3 linked regions of the Oryctolagus cuniculus genome follow. The protein of the gene in region 2 purifies or fractionates together with the protein of the main gene of each other region. This does not show direct contact. Links are inferred from orthologs where the notes say so. Each region holds a gene or a part of one and is shown on either strand. Other genes may lie near its edges.

Region 1 (3,648 bases), on a different chromosome or scaffold from region 2:
AGGTTCGGCTGTTCCATTTCCAATCCAGCTCTCTGCTGTGGCCTGGGAAAGCAGTAGAAGATGGCCCAACTGTTTGGGCCCTGCACTTGTGTGGGAGACCTGGAAGAAGCTCCTGGCTTTGGACTGGCTCAGCTCTGGCTGTTGCAGCCATTTGGGGAGTGAACCAGTGGATGGAAGACCTCTCTCTGTGTGCCTCTGCCTCTCTCTAACTCTGCCTTTCAAAAAAAAAAAAAAAAAAAAAAAAAAAGATGCCCCAAACAGGTCCCCAGGTTAGGCATCTGTTCTCATTCTTACCAGTGCTCAGTGCCACTGCTTTTGGTTTGCTCAGCTTCCTGTAAATGTCGAGTGGCTGCAGCCGCCAGGGCTGCTGCACTCTCATTCTGGAAATCTGTGGCCACGGCCTAGGGATAAAGAAAGGCTAATAAGCCTATTTTATACATTAAATGCATTTCAGTTGCAAACTGCTTTAATGAGAATTGCTGGAAGTAAACAGTTCAAAGTATGTCACATACACACACAAAACTGATTAGGTTTTAAAACTGTGCCCCACTGGCTCAGAACTCTAATGGAATAGAAGTAATATCTATATTTTGAGCGCCTAAGCAGTGTTAAGAGGAGCCAGTTGCTCCTTTTAGCTGTAAGCAGCAGATCATACTTAAAAACGATGGACTCGGCTTTGGACAATGGTCCAGGTGTTTACTCCCTTGAAGCCCAATTATGGAAAAACAAGGCTAATCCACTAATCGAGAACGAGCGCAATCTTTCATTGGTACCTAGAAATACTAGATAACGATGAGAGGTGAGTCACCAACACTGCTCCTACCAAGGGAGCAAGTGGCAATTTCTCCGCAGCGTGTCAGCCTAGAGAGAACTCCGGGAGATGCCAAGGAAACCTGAGCAGATATCTGATGTTCAGTATTTTTTTTTTTTTTAATTTTGCAAACTTTGGGTGTGTGCTATAGACTGTTGGTGAAGAATGATTAAATGGAAATGTTACTGATTCAACTTTCTTACTCATTGGAGTACTTTATCCTCTGCAAAAGTCTTACATTCAATACCAACTGGTAAATCAGAATCAGTGACAAGGATTGTGGAATCTCTGAGTCTCAAATTTCATTTGAGAAGCTCTCTTGTATCCCCAAAATAGTCTGAGATAAAGCCACCCAACAAACACTGCAACAAACACTTGGGTTAAACGTCTAGGAAGAACAGCAAACCCTCAAGTGGCTGATTAGGATGATCTGGCTGGAGTAGCAAGGTAACCCTCTTACCAGCAACAGGTCCTGAGCAGCAATTCTAACGGTATAGGAGAAGGTATCATCATCTTCGTCTTCTACAAACTGCTGCGGGTTGGCTGTCCACACTTTAATCTGAAGACATGATCAAGGTAGGTCTTGTGAGGCTGCTAATCTGGTTAATGTGCTCCCTTACAGATAAAGAAGACTTCAACCTTTGATTCCAAACAAACTGTATCCTCAAAAGCCTTACTTTGTATTGTAGAGAAACAAGTCTTCTACAAAGGGAAGGGGGAACTGGCTATTTCTCCCTGGCAGACTCTACCTCAGAATTTGGCGGTTACTTGTTCTCTGCTACCATCAATCAGCTGTTATTCTTTGATAGATTTTCTGAATCTATTCAGGATACAGGAAATGTGATGGGATATTTACTGTGAAATCATGCCAGCTCCTGTGCTCTCTTATTCGGGGCACCATCTTATCTTGAGAGTTCTTTCCCAGTTTGAATGACCAACAGGCTAACGATCTGTTCTCTACATTTCACTACATCTGGGGAGGGAATAGGTTCCCAGGGATACCAAGGTCTTTGGTAAGAGGCCAGAAAAGATCTTCCTAATAGAAGTGTTCTGGAAGCCCAATTACCCAATTTGGGAGTTGATAAAGCTATAATACCCAGGGAACTGGCAATAAAATGATGTCAAAGGCTTCCTAGAACTCCACACAGAGCTATTCTCATGTTTATTTTTAGACTTGCTGTTCATTTGACCAAGGTTTCATATTGATCAAGTTGCACCTTCCAAATACAAGCTGATGACTGTCTCCCAAATATTACTTACCTGCTCCTCAGTGATTTGCATGTACAGGATTATATAGTATATCAACTCAGGCAAGGCCTTCTTGACAGTGCTTTTGAATTTGCTATTTTCTAGTAGGGCGTGGACAAATTCAAATATGCTAAAGACGAGATTTTCAAAGCCCAGGACTTCACCTATAGAAAATACGCAAGAGAAGGAACTAATGATAAGAATGCACGCAGGAGAAGGAACTAATGCACGCAAGAGAAGGAACTAATGATAAGAATGTACGCTAGAAATAAACTACACTGGCCGGTGCCGCAGCTCAATAGGCTAATCCTCCACCTAGTGGCGCCGGCACACCGGGTTCTAGTCCCGGTCGGGGCGCCAGATTCTTTCCCAGTTGCCCCTCTTCCAGGCCAGCTCTCTGCTGTGGCCCGGGAAGGCAGTGGAGGATGGCCCAAGTGCTTGGGCCCTGCACCTGCATGGGAGACCAGGAGAAGCACCTGGCTCCTGCCTTTGGATCAGTGTGGAGCGCCGGCTGCAGCACGCCAGCCGTGGCGGCCATTGGAGGGTGAACCAACGGCAAAAGGAAGACCTTTCTCTCTGTCTCTCTCTCTCACTATCCACTCTGCCTGTCCAAAAATAAATAAATAACTACATTATTAGTGAATATTTAAAGTGCCTGAAAATTATTAGTCCTAAGGGATTGGACTGGAAGAAGGGCTGAACTTTAAGGGCTGTGTTGTGGCACAGTGGGTTAAGTTGCTACCTGGGATGTACACATCCCATACTGGAGGGCTATTTCAGTCCTGGCTACTACACTTCCAATCCAGCTTCCTACTAAAGTGCCTAGGAGGCAGCACATGACAGCCCAAGGACTTGGATTCCTTCCACCCTCCTGGAAGACCAGGATGGAGTTCCCGGATCCTGCCTTCAGCCTGGCACAGCTCTGGCTGCAGTGGGTATTTAGGAAGTGAACCAGCAGATGGATGATCCCCTGTTCTCTGTCATTCTGCCTTTCAAATGAATGTCTGAATAAATCTTAAAAAAAAAAAAAAAAAAAAAAGAAGAAGAAAAAGAAAAAGAAAAAGGAACTTTGAGGATATCAAATACTCTTTGGTTTTCCAAGTAAAAGAACCAGAAACACTGAATATATTTCTTCTAGCATGTCTATTCTTGATCTGCAATACTTAAAAATATTCAAACAGAAAAGTTAACATCATCTGGGACTTCAAAATTAGACTAGACAAAACAGCAGAAGAAAGCTGGATAAATGGCCTTTAAGAGATCATTTCCAACTCAGGAATCCTATGATTTTACGTGATTTATTTAAATGCCTGTAGGAATAGACAGAAGACGGTCATGTCTCATCTCCTCACGTCTAATACACCAAAAGGAACCTCAATTAGAAAACGCATTTAAGAGTGAAGCATCTCCTAGATTTCTCTTCCCACTAACTGGTATATTTCTGTAAAGATCAGATAAACTACATACCATCAGAATCCACAGGATCTTCCACTTCCTCTGTATAATTTACTTCTGTCCTCACATAAGTATGATGAAGAGTAAAGAAACAGAATTTTGAATCTGCTTTATACACACTCTACAAGGGGATG
Region 2 (3,648 bases):
GTTGCTACACTACATTCACTTTGGGAATATTATTTATGTTTCTTTGGTTACTGGGAATTCAAGTGGTGACTATTCATTTTATAGCATTTTTTTTAAGATAACATGCATTACTTTTAGAATTTTAAAAAAAATGGGAAAGGGTTGTGGCGTAGTAGCTCAGGCCTCCACCTGCGTGCCAGCATCCCGGCTTTTCCACTTCTGATCCAGCTCCCTGCTGGTGGAAGATAACCCAGATGCTTGGGAGTCTGCACCCATTGGGAGACCCAAAAGCAGCTCTTGGCTCCTGGCTTCAGATCAGCCTAGCTCTGACCTTTGCGGCCATTTGGGGAATGAACCAGAGATTCAAGACTTCTTTCTAACTCTGCCTCTCAAATGAGAGCAGGGGAGGGGAGATTGTAGGGAGAAAAATAGGAGCTTAAGTAACTAATGGCATTTAGGATTAAGCTTTTCCCATAACAGAATTATTACCTGGTGAACCTGGTCCACTGAGAAGAAATGCATGTGGTTGTGCATCAGAACTACAACATGGATCTGTCTGTTGGAAATTAGTTTCTAAATGTCTTCTCTTCTGCATGCGTTTATACTCCTGTTTTATGTTGTACAAGATTTGTTCTAAAAAAAAAAAAAAGTTAAAATTGGGCTTTTAAGATAAAAACTTTCAAGTTAAAAAAGAGGTAGACTTTCCAATAGTTATTTAGTAGAACCAATCTTCCCCGTAAATTCTCTTCAAGTAACATTCATAAAAACCAACATTCTGGAAGAAATCATATCAGCATAAATAGGAGCACTTTACCAGAAATGTCACATATATACCACCTGAATTCAACTATTCAGTATCATTTCTGTAAGTTTTTCACTCAAACAGGGAATCTGACATCAAACATCTACCTATTTACTCAAGATTCCTAGCCCCGAAGTTTGTTTATTTATCATACATAGAACTAACACACTAACAGGCTTTTTTCTAAACCCATAAGTAATCAGAAAGGGAAGAGTATGTATATTCAAACACACCAGCAAGATGTGACAGGTCAAAAGAACAAAGACAGAAGATAAAAATGGCTACCAGCCATTAATATTAAGTTCAGCAGAACCCAAGAATATTACAGCATTAATAGCAAAGCATTCTGAATCCTGGGTTTTTGGGAAACCCTCATGCGAAGTGGCACAGAGCAGGTCCTCTCAAAAAAATAACCGCTACACCACAGTGCAATTATGCTTAAACACAGCCGTTGCAACGGGGGATAAAATTATATCCAACATATCCTTCAGACCTGGTATGATTCATTTAGAAAGATTTTCCAATTTAAAATAGTTAACATGGCTGGCGCCGCAGCTCAATAGGTTAATCCTCCACATAGCAGCGCCGGCACACTGGGTTCTAGCCCAGTCGGGGCACCGGATTCTTTCCCGGTTGCCTCTCTTCCAAGCCAGCTGTCTGCTGTGGCCCGGGAAGGCAGTGGAGGATGGCCCAAGTGCTTGGGCCCTGCACCCCTTGGGAGACCAGGAGAAGCACCTGGCTCCTGCCTTTGGATCAGCACGGTGCGCCGGCCGCAGTGTGCCAGCCGTGGCAGCCATTGGAGGGTGAACCAACAGCAAAGGAAGACCTTTCTCTCTGTCTCTCTCTCTCACTATCCACTCTGCCTGCCAAAAAAAAAAAAAAAAAAAAAAAAAAAAAAAAAAAAAAAGAATAAAATAAAATAGTTAACATTAGGTCTCTCCCCCCAAATCCCTAAGGTTCCTTCCTGTCCAGACTTTTCTCACTACCTCAATAACTCCCAAATTAATAGGTTATCTATCTGAAAATTAATCCAAGAAGTTTACTAATCCCAATGGAAAGTGAGATTAAACAAAAAGTAGCAGTAAGATTCGTAAGTACAGTTGCATGCTGCCTCACAGGGACATGCTGTGATAAATGTACCATTTGCCGGTTTTGTTGTGCAATCACAGAGTGCGCTTACACAAACTAAGATAACTTAAGATGTCACAAGGTACTGTGATCTTATGAATCTACTCTTGTACATGCTCATCACTGACCAAAACAGCATGAGACAGTACATTACTGTGTAAGAGTATAAATTTTTCAACAGTGATGCATTAAAGAACTGAAAATGCAACTGAAGATTAAAGACTTGTGTGTGATAAGGTTTTTTAAAATTTAAAACTGGTTTTGTTAGATTTTTTACTCTCTTCTCACTTTATATTATATCCCCAGAAAACAAACCTTAAGCACTTTTGAGAAACTCCCAAAAGAACATAAATCAGTCCCTTGAACATTTTTAATTCTGCCAACTTCATTATAACTGAAAAAAAAAAAAATCGCAAAGTATGTCCCATTTAAATACTTTTTGTTATGTAAACAAACCTGTTTTGTATAAAAACCACAAATTGGAATGACTTACAGGATGGTTGTGTTTAGAGTACTTTCATGTATTAAGCTTTTTTCAGAATATTAACATTTGTTTAATGTTAGTCATTTTTAATTTTTCCATTTATTTGACTAGTTTGCAATTTAAAGAGGCTGCTAGTGTTTGATATAAATGGGTTCCTAATATTCAGAGGTATGCAATAAAACTAATACATCCTGTATCAACCAGGGCAATCACAAATATCTTTATATCAGTAACTATATTCTAAATGGAATTTAGTTTTATAAACCTCCAAACAAGATATAATCTACAAATGACAAAATCCACTAATTTAAAAGTGTGATGCAGTGAATTCTGACTGCATACATGCAGTCTCAGAACCATCAGAATCATGATAAAGAACTTTTTATCATTCCCAAAAAGTCTCCCATGTTCTTTTGCAGTTAATTTACCACTATGACCAAACACCTCCATCCACCAACACTCATGTCCTATTAATGTAGTCTCCCTTAAAAACCCACTGGCTCCACCATCTGGACTTCAACCAACCACAGATCAAAAATATTCAGGGAAGAAAGTGCATCTGTACTAAACAGGCGTAAGTATTTATGGCAGTGGTCATCATTAATTAAAGAATAAAATTTAATAACTATTTACATAGTATATTTTATATATTGTATGTGCATTGCTTATATGCAAGCATTAGACCTTTTTCTTTAAGGGACTGAGATATCTGTGAATCTTGGTACAGGAAGGAGGGCTGGAACCCATTCCCCACAAAGGACAACTGTACTTTGTGCAATTTTGCCTTTTCTAGAATTTCAGGTAAATAGACCAATTAAGAGTATGGAATGGTGTCTGAAATTCTTTCACTCAGCAAAATGTTCTTGAGATTCATATTATGTTCTATGAATTAGTAACTCCTCCCTTTTAATTGATTAGTATATCATTGTGTTTTGTCCCCCCCCCCCCCAGACATTTCATCCATCCATTCTCACAGTATCAACCTTTCGACTGTTTCCCACAAATATTCAGGTACAAGTTTTTGGGTAGAGAGTTTCATTTCCCTTGGATAAATACCCCAGAGTGGGACTAAACTGCCCAATCACACGGCAACTGAAGGGTGGTTTTAATTTTTAAAAAACTCAGAGTGACCTCATCATTTTGTATTCCTACCAACAATATATTGTATTAAGAGTTCCAGCTGCTCCACATCTTTGCCAACACTTGATACTGTCAGTTAAAGAGCTGAAGAATTTTGAATGTTATTGCCTGCACT
Region 3 (4,448 bases), on a different chromosome or scaffold from region 2:
TTGCTTCAACTCCCGCCATTCCTACTTTAGTTTTTATTTCTTTTTTTTTTTTTTTTTTGACAGGCAGAGTGGACAGTGAGAGAGAGAGACAGAGAGAAAGGTCTTCCTTTGCCGTTGGTTCACCCTCCAATGGCCGCCGCGGCCGGCGCGCTGTGGCCGGCGCACCGCACTGATCCGATGGCAGGAGCCAGGAGCCAGGTGCTTTTCCTGGTCTCCCATGGGGTGCAGGGCCCAAGCACCTGGGCCATCCTCCACTGCACTCCCTGGCCACAGCAGAGGGCTGGCCTGGAAGAGGGGCAACCGGGACAGAATCCGGCGCCCCGACCGGGACTAGAACCCGGTGTGCCGGCGCCGCTAGGCGGAGGATTAGCCTAGTGAGCCGCGGCGCCGGCTAGTTTTTATTTCAAAATACCTCTAGTCTTGGGGCTGGCGCTGTGGTGTAGCAGGTAAAGCTGCCACCTGCTGTGCCAGCATCCCATAGGAGCACCAGTTCGAGTCCTGGCTGCTCCACTTCCGATCCAGCTCTCCACCATGGCCTGTGAAAGCAGAAGATGATGGCCCAAGTCCTTGGCCCCTGCACCCCTTGGGAGACATAGAAGAAGCTCCAGGCTCCTGGCTTTGGATTGGCACAGCTCTGACCATTGCAGCCAATTGGGGAGTGAACCAGCGGATGGAAGACTCTCTCTCTGCCTCTCCTTCTCTAACTCTGACTTTCAAATAAAATAAATTAAAAAAAAAAAAAAACCTCTAATCTCTCAGTTTCCAGGCTAGAAAGTTCTGAATTATTTGACACGTTCCTTCCCTTCTTTCCTATCCAACCATATGCCAAGGCATATTCCTCTTCCACAGCCACAGATCGCCCTTCCTTTCATTTGCGATGCCCTCATTACCTTTCACCTAACTAGTGTAATAGCCCCAAACCAGCACTGACTCACTCCTCTAATCCAACTAATCTCCATAAAGCTCAATAATGACCATGAAACTTAAGATAAAAATTAACAGCTTATAGTTGCCCATAGAATGAGACCAAAACTCCTTCACCTCACACTGAAAATCATCTAGTATCTAACACCATTCTGTTTTTCCCATATCTACTGCTACTCCAAGTATATGTGCTGATCAAACTGGACTTTTCTCAGACATGCATTATTTTTTCCACTGTCCCTCCTTTGCTCCTATTATTTTCAGAATTCAAAATTACTCACTGTATTTATTGAGATACTACTCCCTCAAGATCCACTAAAAATTTCAGCTCCTTCATGAAGTTTTCCATGATCCCTTAGTACAGACTGCACTCTGTCATCCAAACTTCCACGGGGTTGATTTGAATCCTCTGAAAATGTTAATACATTTCTAGCTGAAACTATAATTATTTTTGTGAACAGTTCTTTAAGAGATGCCTCCTATATGGGAACAAGGATCTTGATTTTGTTCACCGTAGGAAGCACCCAAATACACACACTAAGTGGATAAGGATAGACTGTACTTCAATCATTCTTGTTAAGACAAAAAAATGAGTAACACAAAACAATCAATACACATGCTAAGTAAACATTCACACAATTTAGTAAAATTTTCCTGTTAAGGATAATTTCCATCATACACAACCTAACTCAAAATTATCACCTAAAGATGGTTCTCCTCGATGCCCTAGAAGCTGAACACTAACAAAGTCACTTTATATGACAATGGGAATGACAATCATTTTTAAAACTTCACATACATCTTCCAGGAGATAGGAAAAGGATGGAAAAATGCTAGTTCCAGGTGATGAAACTTTGGGTTAACATACTTGACAAGAAAGGAGGCTTCTTAAGTCAGTTCCTACAAAAAAAATCTGTATTTCCTAACTATTAAAAAAAAACTTAACAGCTATGATCAGAATATACTGATCAGAATAGAAAATGAAAGCAAAAATGTCTACAGCATAAATATGTAAAACTTAATATTAGCATATGCAGCCTCTGAAAGCTTCGTTTTTTAATAAATATAACCTCAAAATCTTTGACTTTTAAAAACACTACATTCGGCCTTCAACCCTAATACTTCAATATTAACACTAACACTAACCTGCTTTAAACTTTTATTTTAAAAGTCAGAAAACTCTCAGCCAAGTGGAATCAGTATGCGAAATCTCTCGAGATCACTCCAAACTCTGGTTCCTATAAAAGCAGACTCCACACTGGGCATAGCTAAGTCTGCCTTCAAGCTTTTCCAAGAACTATACACCCCTGTGAACCATACTACAAATCCACTGGGTAGTCTCCGTGTGCTTTTTCACATTTTTTCTTATAAAAAGGGGGGGGGGGAGCAGTCGTACTCAACGCTAAAAGGTGTATGGGTAAGGGGGTGACCCCCGCCTCCGGATTAAAGGTCGGAGTCCCGGACCCCGGCTTCCTTTCCTAACACAGACCGGGGCTTCTCACTTCCGCACCAAGATACGACCGAGCAGTGACTCAGCGGCAGGACAAGTGGGGCCGATTTACCCAAATCTAGCTTGAGCAGTAACCGCGAGCGCAAGGGGAGGACAAGAGATCCCGCCCGGCCAGACCCGGGTTCCCGGGGCGCCCCATGACACGGCAGAACCCAGGCCGCGGCCGGGCCCCGGGCCTGCCCACCCATAACCCCGTCCCAGCTTCCCCCCACCGCACGGACCTGTCGTACTCAGACCGGGTGAGGAACATGGTGAGGGCAGAACTAGGCGGCAGCGGCGATGTGGGAAACCGGAGGAACCACGGGACTTCACCGGGATCCAACTCACCCACACCGCCACTTAACCCAGGAACCTGCTTCCAACTGCGCGTGCGCCCGCGACCTCTTTAGCCCGCCCTCCTAGGCTTGCTTTCTATTGGCTGGCCATAGTTCCCGTCGAGGCGATTGGGCCAACGCGCCTCCCGCCAGGCCTCGCTCAGCCTAACGGAGGCGGGACAAAGAGCATTCTTCCGCTTTAAACTGCCGGCGGTTGCTAGGGGCGCCGGGAGTTTGAGGCGTGTGTGGGGAGTTCTCCATTTAGCGGTGTGAGCCGGCGCCAGGATGGGCAGCTAGGAGGGATTGTACCGAAGGCCGTGCTATCTGAACCTTGATTTGATAGGTCTCTCGCCGGCTTGCTTAATCTCCGCCCGGAGACGTTGGTCCGGTTTCCAACACGCGCTGCGCTCGCCCGTCTCTGCGGAGTTCCGGGTTGCTTGAGGTCTGGCGCGGTCTATCCGGTGCTCTAGCGAGGGCTGCAAATTTTGAGCGGTGATGGGTGCACTACGGTGGGTCTGAGCCGGCGCCGTGGGCGAGTCCAGCCTGGCTCATTTATTGAGAAAAGTTGGTGGGTTTTAACCAGTAAGAAAGTCTTCCAGTTTCCGCAAGTTGAGGTAATTTTGCCAGCTCGTTGTTGGACCCTCCCTGCGCCCGCCCCCAGTCCAGATTTCAGACTGATGAGCTCAGGATCCCAGATTCAGATCGTTCGCCGTTTTTCTGTTCTTAATGAAGAATGCGTGCTTTCCTTTTCGGTGCTTCTTGCCTCCCTTTCCCAAGGGCGGAAGAGCAACTTCGTAGCTTCATAGAAACATTCTGAGTAACTTGTCTAAGACAGGAAGTTAAGAAATCACGGCCGGGGATAAGGTGTTGAGAGGATCGAAAAAAGGAAAGTTGGAGATCTATTATACAGCAGGGTGACGCTAGTGAATAATGTATATTTGAAAGTTGCCAAGAAAGTAGATCTCAAACGTTCTCTCTCACACACACAAGTATGTGAGATGATGGATACAGTAATTGATCTAATCATGCACAAAGTGTATCTGGGGCAAAACATCACGGAGGAAGCGGGGGCTGGCGCTGGCTTAGCTGTTGTGTCCCGGCTGCTCCACTTCCGATCCAACCCCCTGCTAATGGCTTGGAGAAAGCGAAAAATGACCCAAGTGTCTGGGAGCCTATCGCCCATGTGGGAGACTTGGAAGAAGCTTCTGGTTCCTGGTTGCAGCCATCTGGGGAATGAGCCAGCATATGGAAGATCTCTCAGTATATGAGATATGAAAGAGCATATTTCTTTCAAATAAATTTTAAAAATTAAAAAAAGAAAATCAGGAGGAGAGGTTGGGCATTTGGCCCAGTGCTTGAGACACAGGCTGTGATACCCCCATGTCCGACTCTGCTTCCATTACAGCTTCCTGCTAATGTAGCCTGGCAGGCAGCAGGTGGTGACTCATGTGCTTGGATCCTGGCTCCTAGCTTTGGCCTGGCCCAGCCCCATTCATTGCAGGCATTTGGGGAATAAGCCAATGGATGAGAGCTCGCTCTCTCTCTCTCTGCCTCAAATAAATATATTGAAATTTTAAGATGTCTAATTTTTTAGAACTTGCATTTATACCATAACTATAAACAATTTTTGTCAGTTATACCTTAGTAAATCAAGGAGGAAGTCATTTATGGGGCAGTTATGCCTGAAAGGGAAATGCCAT

The links.
Region 1: the proteins of AKIRIN2 (region 2) and IPO9 purify together in Homo sapiens (affinity purification with mass spectrometry; 3 studies listed by BioGRID and IntAct, counting the BioPlex papers as one, with this or other methods). This does not show direct contact. The link is inferred for Oryctolagus cuniculus from reciprocal best matches to the Homo sapiens genes AKIRIN2 and IPO9.
Region 3: the proteins of AKIRIN2 (region 2) and PSMA5 purify together in Homo sapiens (affinity purification with mass spectrometry; 3 studies listed by BioGRID and IntAct, with this or other methods). This does not show direct contact. The link is inferred for Oryctolagus cuniculus from reciprocal best matches to the Homo sapiens genes AKIRIN2 and PSMA5.

Annotation. Positions count from the first base shown.
Region 1 is NC_091444.1:17,766,845-17,770,492, reverse strand, and holds part of IPO9 (importin-9), read right to left. Parts: intron 3,586-3,648; coding exon 3,527-3,585; intron 2,224-3,526; coding exon 2,072-2,223; intron 1,371-2,071; coding exon 1,272-1,370; intron 402-1,271; coding exon 295-401; intron 1-294. UniProt on the Homo sapiens protein: Nuclear transport receptor that mediates nuclear import of proteins, such as histones, proteasome and actin. Serves as receptor for nuclear localization signals (NLS) in cargo substrates.
Region 2 is NC_091436.1:84,875,046-84,878,693, reverse strand, and holds part of AKIRIN2 (akirin-2), read right to left. Parts: intron 613-3,648; coding exon 469-612; intron 1-468. UniProt on the Homo sapiens protein: Molecular adapter that acts as a bridge between a variety of multiprotein complexes, and which is involved in embryonic development, immunity, myogenesis and brain development.
Region 3 is NC_091438.1:61,003,576-61,008,023, reverse strand, and holds the start of PSMA5 (proteasome subunit alpha type-5), read right to left. Parts: upstream 2,826-4,448; 5' UTR 2,685-2,825; coding exon 2,656-2,684; intron 1-2,655. UniProt on the Homo sapiens protein: Component of the 20S core proteasome complex involved in the proteolytic degradation of most intracellular proteins. This complex plays numerous essential roles within the cell by associating with different regulatory particles.